Linked DNA regions of Caenorhabditis elegans. The protein of the gene in region 1 interacts with the protein of each later gene in a pairwise test. Each region holds a gene or a part of one and is shown in the gene's direction. Other genes may lie near its edges.

Evidence for each region. The genes of interacting proteins can lie anywhere in the genome.
Region 2: the proteins of exo-3 (region 1) and F33H2.6 interact in a two-hybrid assay, tested with the Caenorhabditis elegans proteins (2 studies listed by BioGRID).

What each region holds. Positions count from the first base shown.
Region 1 is NC_003279.8:11,905,694-11,911,327, reverse strand, and holds exo-3 (exodeoxyribonuclease III), read left to right. Parts: upstream 1-2,076; 5' UTR 2,077-2,121; coding exon 2,122-2,370; intron 2,371-2,699; coding exon 2,700-3,026; intron 3,027-3,086; coding exon 3,087-3,302; intron 3,303-3,609; coding exon 3,610-3,684; 3' UTR 3,685-3,757; downstream 3,758-5,634. Other genes in the region: NEDD8-conjugating enzyme ubc-12, read right to left, coding at 1-1; rbm-3.2 (RRM domain-containing protein), read left to right, coding at 372-393, 587-665, 751-907; rbm-3.1 (RRM domain-containing protein), read left to right, coding at 1,354-1,378, 1,597-1,675, 1,731-1,878.
Region 2 is NC_003279.8:15,013,289-15,019,234, reverse strand, and holds F33H2.6 (Regulator of microtubule dynamics protein 1), read left to right. Parts: upstream 1-2,639; 5' UTR 2,640-2,655; coding exon 2,656-2,924; intron 2,925-2,983; coding exon 2,984-3,160; intron 3,161-3,316; coding exon 3,317-3,453; intron 3,454-3,814; coding exon 3,815-3,945; intron 3,946-4,121; coding exon 4,122-4,313; 3' UTR 4,314-4,381; downstream 4,382-5,946. Other genes in the region: dog-1 (Helicase ATP-binding domain-containing protein), read left to right, coding at 1-5, 263-718, 1,534-1,762; pole-1 (DNA polymerase epsilon catalytic subunit), read left to right, coding at 5,361-5,401, 5,446-5,946.

The sequences.
Region 1 (5,634 bases):
TTCTGAAAGCGAAAAATTAAGAAATACGATAATTTTCAGCGATATAGGCGGCGCATACGGAAACATAGAGAAAATAATCGTTTTTTTGGCAAAATTACAGTGTAAAAGGGTCAAAAATCGATGAAAATCTTGTAATTCAGCGAAAAAACGACAAATTACGTGAGAAAATGAAACAATTGCTATGAAAAATGACAGAGAATGAGGAATAAAAGACGCAGCGTTTGCTAACGCTGAAATGACTAAAGGGGGCGGAGCGCGAACGCAAGGCTGGCACACTTTTACCGCAAGTGCCGCACGGTTTCCCACGAGTCGGAGGAGGCAAGCGAAAACGATTCGAATCACACATATTTACGCTCCGGCCTAAAATCGTCATGTCTGGATTCTCTGTTTACGGTTAGTTTTGTTAATTGTAAATTATTCAAGTAGAAAACTGGAATATTCAGCTTTAAAAGCAGATTTTAATCGAGAAAAGCCGAATTTAAAGTCTGGCCTAAAATTTTTATTTTTCTCCAGGCGTTTTTCTATTTATTGTATTTGATTAGGCTGAGATAATTTGAGTTTTTAATAATTTTAATGCATTTTTCAGTCGGAAACGCTCCATTCCAAACTACCGAGGACGACCTTGGCAACTACTTCAGCCAGGCTGGAAACGTCAGCAACGTCAGGTAAGCTTCTCTCCCCGAAATCTCCTCTTCCCGAAACCTCCTGAACGACGACCCGTTAACTCTCAATATGAATCTCTATTTTCAGAATCGTTTGCGACCGCGAGACCGGACGTCCACGTGGATTCGCCTTCGTCGAGTTCACCGAGGAGGCCGCTGCCCAGAGAGCCGTCGACCAATTCAACGGAGTCGATTTCAACGGAAGAGCTCTACGCGTCAACTTGGCTCAAAACAGAAACAACTAATTTTCATATCGGTACTTTGTTACTTGTTTGATCTTTAATGATCTCAATAATAATAAACCCATGAAATCGTTATCATAAATATATATGCTCTATTTTTTTATTTCGAATCTTCATTTGGGGTCAATCTGATGGCAAGCGTTGAGGCTAGAAGCTTGAAGGAACGGCTTCGGTTCGAGCAAGTTTTGAATCCTGGGCTATGCGCAGCCCAATGTGAGCTTACAACTGAAAATTCAAGTTTCAACACTCTTCGCGGTCTTATTTTGGACTAATTCCTCATATTTTCAGCTTGAAATGGAAAAAATCTGTCGAAATCGATGCTATTCGAGGGGCGGGGCCAAAACGCAACCCTGGCACGGTTTTTACGCAACTGCCGCACGTTTTCTCCAAGGCAGGGTGAGCGGAAAAATTAAACCGTCATAAATTTTCTGCTACGGCCTAAAATCGTCATGTCTGGAATCTTCTCTGTTTACGGTTAGTTTTTTAATAATTTATTTTAAGTATTAAACAATCGGAAACTGGTTAAAATAGCCAATAAAACTCGATATTGTCCTGAAATTTTGGGATTTTTCGGAAAAATCGAATTCGCGAAGTTTTCCCTAATATTTTCATTTGAAAAGGCAATTTTAAGTGTTTAGATTCAAATTTGGTTGCGAAATATTTAAATCAATTAAAATTTTCCTTTTTTTTAGTTGGAAACGCTCCATTCCAGACCACCGAGGAGGAGCTTGGAAACTTCTTCAGCAGCATCGGACAAATCAACAACGTCAGGTAACTCTCCCAGCCAGCCCGAGCTTCATGATTTCTAACGCAATATCTCTTTCAGAATCGTCTGTGATCGCGAAACCGGACGTCCACGTGGATTCGCCTTCATCGAGTTCGCCGAGGAAGGATCCGCACAGAGAGCCGTCGAGCAGATGAATGGAGCCGAGTTCAATGGAAGACCACTCCGCGTCAACCTCGCCAACAAATAAGTTGATCTTCATATCGGGTTTTTGTTACTTTTTTGCTCTTCACTGATCTCATTATTAATAACAATCCAATGAAACTATCGATTTAATTATTTAATTCAATTTCAACTATTCTCTAACTAATCTGTTCAACATTCGGGGAAGTTTCTCTATTTGTCATCCTTCCATCCGCCGACCTGATTCAACTTTCTTCTTCCCCAGCTGCTCCGTTCAAGAGCCTACTCGACTACTAACCTGTTGCTGAAAATGTCGAAGCGAAAAGCAGAAGAAGCACCAGCACCAAAGCTCGCCTCGATCTTCACAAAGAAGGTGAAGCCGGCAGAAGAGGACAATAATCAGAAAAGCTGGAAGTTTGTGTGCTGGAACGTGGCAGGGCTCAGAGCTTGTGTGAAGAAAAGTGATTTTAAGGAAGTGCTCGCCGAGGAGCCTGACCTCGTTTTTCTAGGAGAGACCAAGTGTAAGGAGTGGCCCCCGGAGATGGAGGAGACGTTTAAGGTAAGGAATTCCTGGAAGAAAAGAGATTTTTCGCATATTTTACGGCCGGGTTTCATCAAAAATATGTTTATTAACACATTTTAAACGAAAAAACGTAGAAATTTCCATTAAATCCAAGCGGAAATTCACTATTTTTCCTGAAATCTACAAAGAAAATCGCAATTCAAAAGAAATTTGCATAAAAATAACATTTAAAAGTCAAAATTCTACCAGATTTCCATTTAAATAGGGATATTATGTGCTTTTTAAAAATATTTTGAATGAAATTTTAGCAGAAAAATGCGAGAAAATGGCTGAAAAAGCGATTTTCAAAGCTAATTTTTTTCCAGAACTACACCAAAACCCTCGTCGTCTCCACAGAGAAGAACGGTGGCTACGCAGGAGTCGGGCTGCTCAGCAAATGTGCTCCGATGAAGGTTCACAAAGGAATCGGTGACCCAGAATTCGACACTGCCGGACGTCTGATCATCGCCGAGTTCTCCAAGTTTTACTTTATCGGAGCTTACGTTCCAAATTCGGGCGCGAAGCTGGTGAATTTGGAGAAACGAGGACGCTGGGAGAAGCTGCTGACCGAGAAGATGAAGGAGATGGACGAGAAGAAGCCAGTGATCTACGGGGGTGATTTGAATGTTGCACATAATGAAATTGATCTGAAAGTAAATATATTGTATTAAATTTGTTTTAAAAATTATAAATTAACTCCCTGATCCTTTCAGAATCCAGAATCAAATCGAAATAAAACCGCGGGATTCACAGATCAAGAACGTGGATGGTTCAGTGAGATGCTCGAGTTGGGATTCACCGACACCTTCAGAGCCATGCATCCCGACGAGAAGAAGTACTCATTTTGGAGTTATCTGGCGAATTCTCGGCAGAAAGATGTTGGATGGAGATTGGATTATTATGTTGTCAGCAATCGAATTATGAATAAGGTCTCGTCTGGAAGCTGTGGAAAATTGAAAAAATGGGCAAAAAATGCAATATGTCTGGGATTTTTTCCCGTAAAATCCCGGTGGATACCGAAATTTTGATGGAATTTGCCATAAAAATTTGATTTTCCAAAAAAATTTAGACAAAATCCACCGGGGAATTGAAATTTTTCAGAAGATTTCCATGAAATCCACTTAAAAATTTAGAATTTTACTGAAATTTCGACGTAATCCAAGTGGAAATTCAATTTTTCCACTGGAATTTTGATAAAATCCAAATTAAAATTCAATTTTAATGTTCTTTTTTCAGGTCAAACGCAGTGATATCATGAGCTCGGTGATGGGAAGCGACCATGCTCCGGTCGTCATGCAAATCGACTTCTAAATTGCTTCTGATTATTTTATTTTGTGAATATTGCTTTAAAACTTGTATTTTTGATGAATCTCGACTAATTTTTAAATTTAGAAAGTCTGAAAAAAAAAAACAAATTCATCAACAAGTAACAATGTTTAACAGAATTTCAAAAAATGGAAACAACACGAGATCACTGTTCTTTTTTAATTTCCAAATAGCCAAAGGTGAGCCTAATTTTGAAGCGTGACGTCTCGGTTTCATAGACGAACGGAGCATGTTCTTCGTCTGATTGCTCATGATTGAAAAGCATCGCGAGTTGAGAAGCCTTAATTGTAGAGCATCTGATGATTGCGGATTGAAAGTGATCGGATTTCATGTGAATCTGGAAAAAAAAATCAGATTTATTGAAAATAATCAATTTTCTAAAGTATATCTCTAATCTTGATGGCGTCATCAACCGTGAATTCTTCCATTTTAACCTCAAAACCCGACAAATGGAAGAGATTTTCAATTGGGAAAGTAAAACGGTGATCCCAGACTCGAAGTTTCTTAATCTTCTTCCACTGCTCCAGCTCAAAAAGAGCCAAGTACATATCCATTGTTTCATCAACATAATCATCATAAATACTGTTCCACGTCCTTCTTATTGGAGAGCTCATCAATGCCAATTTCTTCGAGATCTCCCGGTTTAAAATGGGAAACGACTTGGGTAATATCTTGCAGGTCCAGCATGTCAATCGTGAATTTTTTAGCACTAATTTCCGCCTCCGAAGCTTTGAAAGTCTCCTTGAAATTCTCATAGCAGTTAGCAACTTCAAATCTTTCAGTGAATTCATCATTGACCTCCACTTTGAACTCTTCCAGCTTAAGATTCGGATTTTTCAATAGAATCGCCACGTCGTCCAATGGTTTCTTCATATATTCCTTATTGCGAATTTTTTTATTCTTCCGACACGTATACGATCGATAATCTTCGTCATCGTCATCATGGTACAACTCCAATCGATCGTAGCCCATGCTCATCGAGATTTTTTTGATGCCAGAATTGCGATTGTCGATGATAGATCTCAAGTTTCGAGACACATTACGAATAGGAAATCTGAAAATTTGGGTATTAACTATTTTTAAAAATTAAGTAAGCATTGAAGACTGACGTTTCAAATGGTTTCATATCATCCAGAACTTTATGAACAATTTGGATAGGCATATCGGGCAGGCTGCGACTTTTTGGATCATAGCTGAAAGTTATTTTATTTTGTTTAAGGCGCTCTCGCTAGCTTCCCTCATATTTTGAAATGTAAGAGTTTGCCGAACTAGGCCATTTTGACTCGGTCATGCCTGGGGTAGATTTACGGCGCGTTGCGTGTCGCGTCGCGGCTCGGTTAATTACCTCATTTCACAGTCTAAATCAGCATCTCCATTTCCGATTTGATAGTACCAAAAGTCGAATTCGCGATATTCCATCAAACCGTATCCGAGAACATTACAAAACGAGTGATATGCACTATAGACAGACTCTTTCTGAAGATACAGGAACAGAATACATGAGCGAATGGCAATTTTGTTGTTTCGCAGAAGATTCTTCTTTTCTATTATTTTTCTGGAAAATGCATATTATTTAGAGTTTAAACTAAAGAAGCAACAAACTCGTAACACAAATCCATCGATTCGTCGAATTCAGAACAAGAGCAGGAATCGGACTCTGACATTGTACTCATTGGGGGAGTCGAGTTTGTGGATTTGTGCTTAAAGGTAGAGTGAGGCCAGTGGGGAAATTGCTTTAAAACATGCCTTTAAAAAATTCAAAAAATTTTTTTCTAGATTTTATATGATTTTTTGAAAATTGGAAAAATTTTAATTTCCCCCTAATTCCTATAGGTTCCTATTTGAATTTCCGCCAATTGGATTCGCTCGGTGGAGCGCGCATTTAAAAAACACAGAAAATGAAGAAAATCAGTGGAATAATAGAAATAAATAGGA
Region 2 (5,946 bases), 3.1 Mb from region 1:
ATCAAGTACGTTGGCGGATTATTTTTCGAATTTTCTACTTTCAGAGAGACTTGAAAAAAATGAATAGATTTTCAACAAAAATGTCAAATTTTGTTTAGGTTATTTAAATCAAGACTTGTTTAAAACAAATATAATTTCTGAAAATTCAAATCGGAAAACTTAGTTTTTGTCTAATTTTTTATAAAAAGTTACAAAAGCCTTGAAAAATGTTCCAATTGTTGGAAAATTTTCGAATGTTAAGAAATCAGCTCATTTTTTGCAGGTATGTATGCAGTAACGTGCCAGCAGGAATTCTATGTTTTCTCCCCAGCTATCGAGTTCTAGATCAATTAAAACAATGTATGATCCGTAATTCAACAATGCGACAAATCGAAATGAAAAAAGTTGTGCTCTACGAGCCGCGAAGATCCTCAGAATTAACATCAGTAATGGATCAATTCGATGCGGCGATCTTCGATCCGTCTAGATTCGGTGCAAACATCAACGGATCTCTTATGTTTGCCGTTTTTCGTGGAAAAGTTTCCGAGGGCATTGATTTTGCCGATGATCGTGCGCGTGTGGTGATTTCTGTCGGAATTCCGTATCCAAATGCGATGGATGATCAAGTGAATGCGAAAAAGTTGTATAATGATCAGAATTCCAAGGAAAAGGGGATTTTGACTGGCGATGAGTGGTATACCACGCAGGCCTATCGAGCATTGAATCAGGCTTTGGGAAGGTGAATATATATACAAAGCCGCGTGGAATAAAAACTACGTTTTTTTTATTTAAAAAATGTTATGCTATGCTACAAATGTTCAAAACACAGCAATTTTCTACTGTAACACATAATTCTGAAATTTGCGCAACATTTTTGACGCACAAAATATCTCGTAGCGAAGACTACAGTAATCCTTTAAATGACTACCGTAGTGCTTGTGTCGATTTACGGGCTCGATTTTCGAATTTCCTAATCGAATTTTGACAGCAGTATTTAATTTGTCTTTTTTTTTCTGTATTGTTTTGTCATTTTTGTGTTAAAAAAAAATATTTAAATGAAAAACGTCCAATATTGCCTTATAGGAAACTCATACAATCGTATTTTTACATTATTTTCCGTCTATTGCCGGGTTTCACCTGGAAAACCTGCAATAGACGGGAAATAATGTAAAAATACGTTTGTAAATAGGAGTTTCCTCATCAAAATGAAGGCAATATTACACGTTTTTTTCTATTAAAACAGTTGGTTAATGAATAAAATTTTTTTAAGTACAAAAATGACTAAACAATACGAACAACGAAGGAAAATTGAATATCACTGTCCAAATTCGAAAATAAAATCGAGCCCGTAAATCGGCATAAGCGCTACTTTTAAAGAAATACTGTAATTTTCGCTGCGAGATATTTTGCGAGTCAAATATGTTGTAAAATACGCATTCTCAGGATTTAGTGTTCCCGTAATATCAAATCTATAATATCACGTGAAATAAGGGAATCAGTAGAAAAACCATCTGGCCAAATTTCACTACAATCTAAAATTCATTAAATCTTCAGATGTCTCCGGCACAAAAACGACTGGGGAGCAATGCTAATGATCGATGAACGCCTAGAACGTCAAACTGGAAATCTTGTGGGCGGAGCCTCGTCTGCTCGTGTCTCAAAATGGATTCGTGCTCAACTGAAAAGCTATCCGAGTTTTAAAGAATTTAATGCGAATTTTCGCGAATTCATCCAGCGTCGACACGCTGTTGAGAAAGCAAAAAAAGAGAATTTTTGTGAATGAATTAAACTTTTTCTAACTTTTTTTTTTCGATTAAAACCCCCGCCCCTTATCTTTTTTACGTGTAAAATTTATGATTTTTCCTCATTTTCTTAAACAATTTTTAGACGTCTTTTTTAAAAGTTAGAATCTCCCTAATGCATTGTTTTTACCCCTTTTTTCAAATCGATTTTCATAAAGCTTGGCCGAACTTTTTCTCTCTTCTCTCATTATCACTTATCAGTGTTTACCTTTACACCACTTGTACTTTGAACTGTGAAATGCTGACAACATTATAGCGTTCTCAGTAGCCTACGAGAATTTTTCTAAAACTTGCCTGGAACCAGTTTGAACGCAAAATTTTTCCCTTTCGAGTGTTCAAAATTAATTTTCAAATTTTCATTTTGTTCGAAAAAGGTTTTGGCGTATGACTCTTTCCGAATATCTTTGTGAAATTAAAAAAAAACTTCTCGGATTTAATATTTCAGCTTGAAATCTCGCACCCAAAACTTAACGCGCCAGAGGCAGTCTCATTGGGGCGCACCGTGCTGTGTCGATTTACGGGATTTTTCACCATCTGTCATGTTTTTTCAAAAACTTTTTTTTTGGTTATTATTTGGAAAATTGTTTTTTCCGTGTCAATTGAACATTTTATTATATCCAAATCACAACTCGATGAAAATCCGAATTTTCGAAAAAAAAAACGATAAATTTAAGGCTTTTTTAGTTTAAAAAATTTAAAGATATTCGGAATTAGGGGGTTGGAATAATTCAGTGAATGCGTCTTTGAGTATGAGTTTTTTGAAAAATTACCTATGTACTTGGAAAAAGGCCATCGAAATTAATAATATATTTTTGTTTCAATATTTATAATTTATTTAAAATTGTCTAATTTTTGCAGCCTCTGAAGAAAAAAAATGTTCAAACGAGTATTCAATCTCCGTTTTATTTCGAATTTCTCTCGCCGCCCGACATCTTCTCCAAAACTTCCGAAATTAATTGCAATCACTGGTGGAACCTCGCTTGGAATCGCATTTTTTGGAAAAACTGAAGAGAACAAGAATTTGGACTCAGGAAATGGACAATTAATTGATGGAAAACCGAAAAATTTCGATTTAATTGTTCGAAATTCGGATGAACTTTATGATAATTATCTAATCGATAATTGTTATAATATTTTGAAAAAGTGAATTTTCAATTAACTTTTAGAAATGTCCATTTTAACTTTTCTTTCCAATTTTTAAGATTTGAAAATTCCAATTGCTCCGAGCTTCTATGGCGTCTGGCACGTGTGGTTTGTGAGAAAGGAAAACTCTCAAAAGATCAAAATCAACGAAAAGAGCTCATTTTGGAAGCCTATGGAATTGTGAAAAAAGCTCTTGACAATGAGCCAAAGAATGGATGCTTTGGAGCACATAAATGGTACGATTTGGAGTTAAAACGCTATTTATTCCGGGTAGAACAACACAATTTTGCGAGAAAAAAAAACTATGACTGAGGGTGGAAATCGAAAACTGAGCACCTGCCTTTTTTGGCGGCTGAGTTTTAGCATTTTCTATGCCACATGGCTATCTTTAGGTATGCCATTCTACTGGATTACGTTGGAGAGATCGAGGGAAACAAATCGAGAATCGAAAAATCATTCCAAGTGCGGAAACATTTAGAGAAGGCGTTATCGATTTTCGAGAACGATCCAACAACGTGGCATATTTTGGGTAAGGGATTCCGGATTGAACAGAGAAAAAAAAAGAAAAATCATGTTAGAATTTATTCACGTGGAGTCAGACGGTCCCTTTTCGCTTTGATCTACGAAACATGCGGGAGGTGAGACGTAGACATCTCAACTGATTTCGCATGGTTAACAGTGTGCTTACGTCACAAATTTTCTGGGAAAAAATTCCCGCATTTTTTGTAGATCAAACCGCAATGAGACTTTCTGACACCCCGTGTTTATTCCGAATTAAAGCTCTACAGCTCACCGTTCAATCAACGGGGGCGGGCGGTGCTTAACCATTATTTTTTTTAGATATTTCTGCATTTCGCTTCGAGAATTAAAAAGAAAACCTCAAATTTCAGGAGTCTGGCACTTTTCCTTCGCCAATATGGGTTACGCGACTCGAATGGTGGCCAAAGCTATTTTCGCAACTCCACCAGCATCCACATATCAGGAGGCTCTACACTATTTCCTAAAGGCTGAACAGATTTCGGTAAAAAAATATCAGAATTCAAACACTTTTAGTGAATCTCTCATAGTCAATCAAAAACATACAAAAATGAAAAGTTGTCGACCAAATTTTTTTACACTTTGAACATTTTCCTCCACTTGGGAAGTAAATAGTGCCACGAAAAATTCAGATCATTATAGTTAAATTCAAATTTTCAGCCCGGATTCTACAGTACGAATACCTACTACATTGGCGAAGTGTACGAACAACTAGGACAAAAAGCCGAAGCACTTGATGCATTCAAACAATCATTCAAAATGCCAGTTGTGACTTCTGATGACGCGGTTATTCATAAGAAAGCATACGAGAAACTGAAGAAATATGGAGTCAAGGATACTGAAGTTGTTTAGATTGTGAAAAATATGTATTTGTAAGATGATTGTTGTAATTTTTAACAGAATAAAAATATTTATTTGAATTTAATAATTGTCTAATGTCAGCTAAATAATATTGTCGGAAATGAGGCACCACGGTTTCAAGATCTGGTGAAATTCCGGATCTACGTTTTCCGGAAATACGATTTCCGGATCTACGTTTTCCGAATCTAGCACCGTGCCAACCCACAAAACGCTTTTTTATTCACTCGACGCACGTTGTTTTTTGAAAATTTCTTCTAGAAGAAACGCTTAACAACACGCGACGCTTAACAACGGAGCATCGTTGTCACGTTTTTCTCCGAGAAAAATAGCGTTTTAAGAGTTGGCCAGATCCGGAAAACGTAGATCCGGAAATGGTAGATCCGGAAAACGGAGATCCGGAATTTTACCAGATCTTGATACCGTGGTGCGAGGCACCACGTTTTCAAGATCTGTTCAAAAACAAGATCTACGAAAACAAGATCCACCAAAACAAGATCTACGTTTTCAGGATCTGGCACCGTGCCAACTGCGGTTTTCTCGAAGAAAACGAAACAACGATGCTCCGATGTTACGTTCGCGTGTTGTTTAGCGTTCAAACGAATATTTTTTGAAATTTTCTTCTAGAATTTACGCAACACGCGTACGCACGCGTAGAGAAAACCGCAGTTGGCACGGTGCCAGATCCTGAAAACGTAGATCTTGTTTTGGTAGATCTTGAAAAGGTAGATTTTGTTTTGGTGGATCTTGTTTTCGTAGATCTTGTTTTTGAACAAATCTTGAAAACGTGGTGCCTCCGTGGTGCCTCTCGGAAATTCAATTGTATTGCTTTAAAATTCAAATTCTGCTCCTTCCCTCCATTTTATGATCTGGTGGCCTAGAATTCCACCCAACTCGTCCTCTGGCCGAGCGCGCGAAATCTTGCATTTTAAACTCGATTTCCCATGAAATTAACTTAAATTTGCCATTTTATCTAGTTTTTTCTTTAGTTATTTGATTTTCAGTATTTTCAGACAAGTTCGGTCATCGCCAGCAAGCTCAATGAGCTCCAAGGATGACATTCTTGCACAGGCGGTCGAAAAGTTTGTTTCAAGAATGGAGAAAGTATAAAATCTTCTTTTTTTAGTGATTCAAACTACAAAGAGCGGCTTGCCCTGATCAGATCAAATGATGAGATTGATGCGAAGCTTGGTTTCTCTAGATACACAGGACTACAGGAGAAAAAAGGATTTCTGATAAACATCCAACCTTCGGAGCTTGTCGACGAGCAAACCAAAGTTATTATTTCGGTCGTTGACTATTTCTTCATCAGTGATATGGACGAACGCTTCAAAATCAGTTACCCATTTCGACCGTATTTCTATATTGCCACGTTGGATGGATTTGAATTCCAAGTATCCAGTTATCTGTCCAAGAAGTACGGAGCCCAGACAGCAGTTGAACATATGGATCGGGAGGATTTAGATTTGAAAGATCATCTTTCTGGGTTGAAGAAGACATATATCAAACTCTCATTCACCAGCACCGTGGAATTGATAAAAATCCGTAAGGAATTAATGCCGCTGGTGCGGAAAAACACAGATCGCATCAAAAAAGAGTCGGCGTACGCTGACTATTTGGCGAGGAA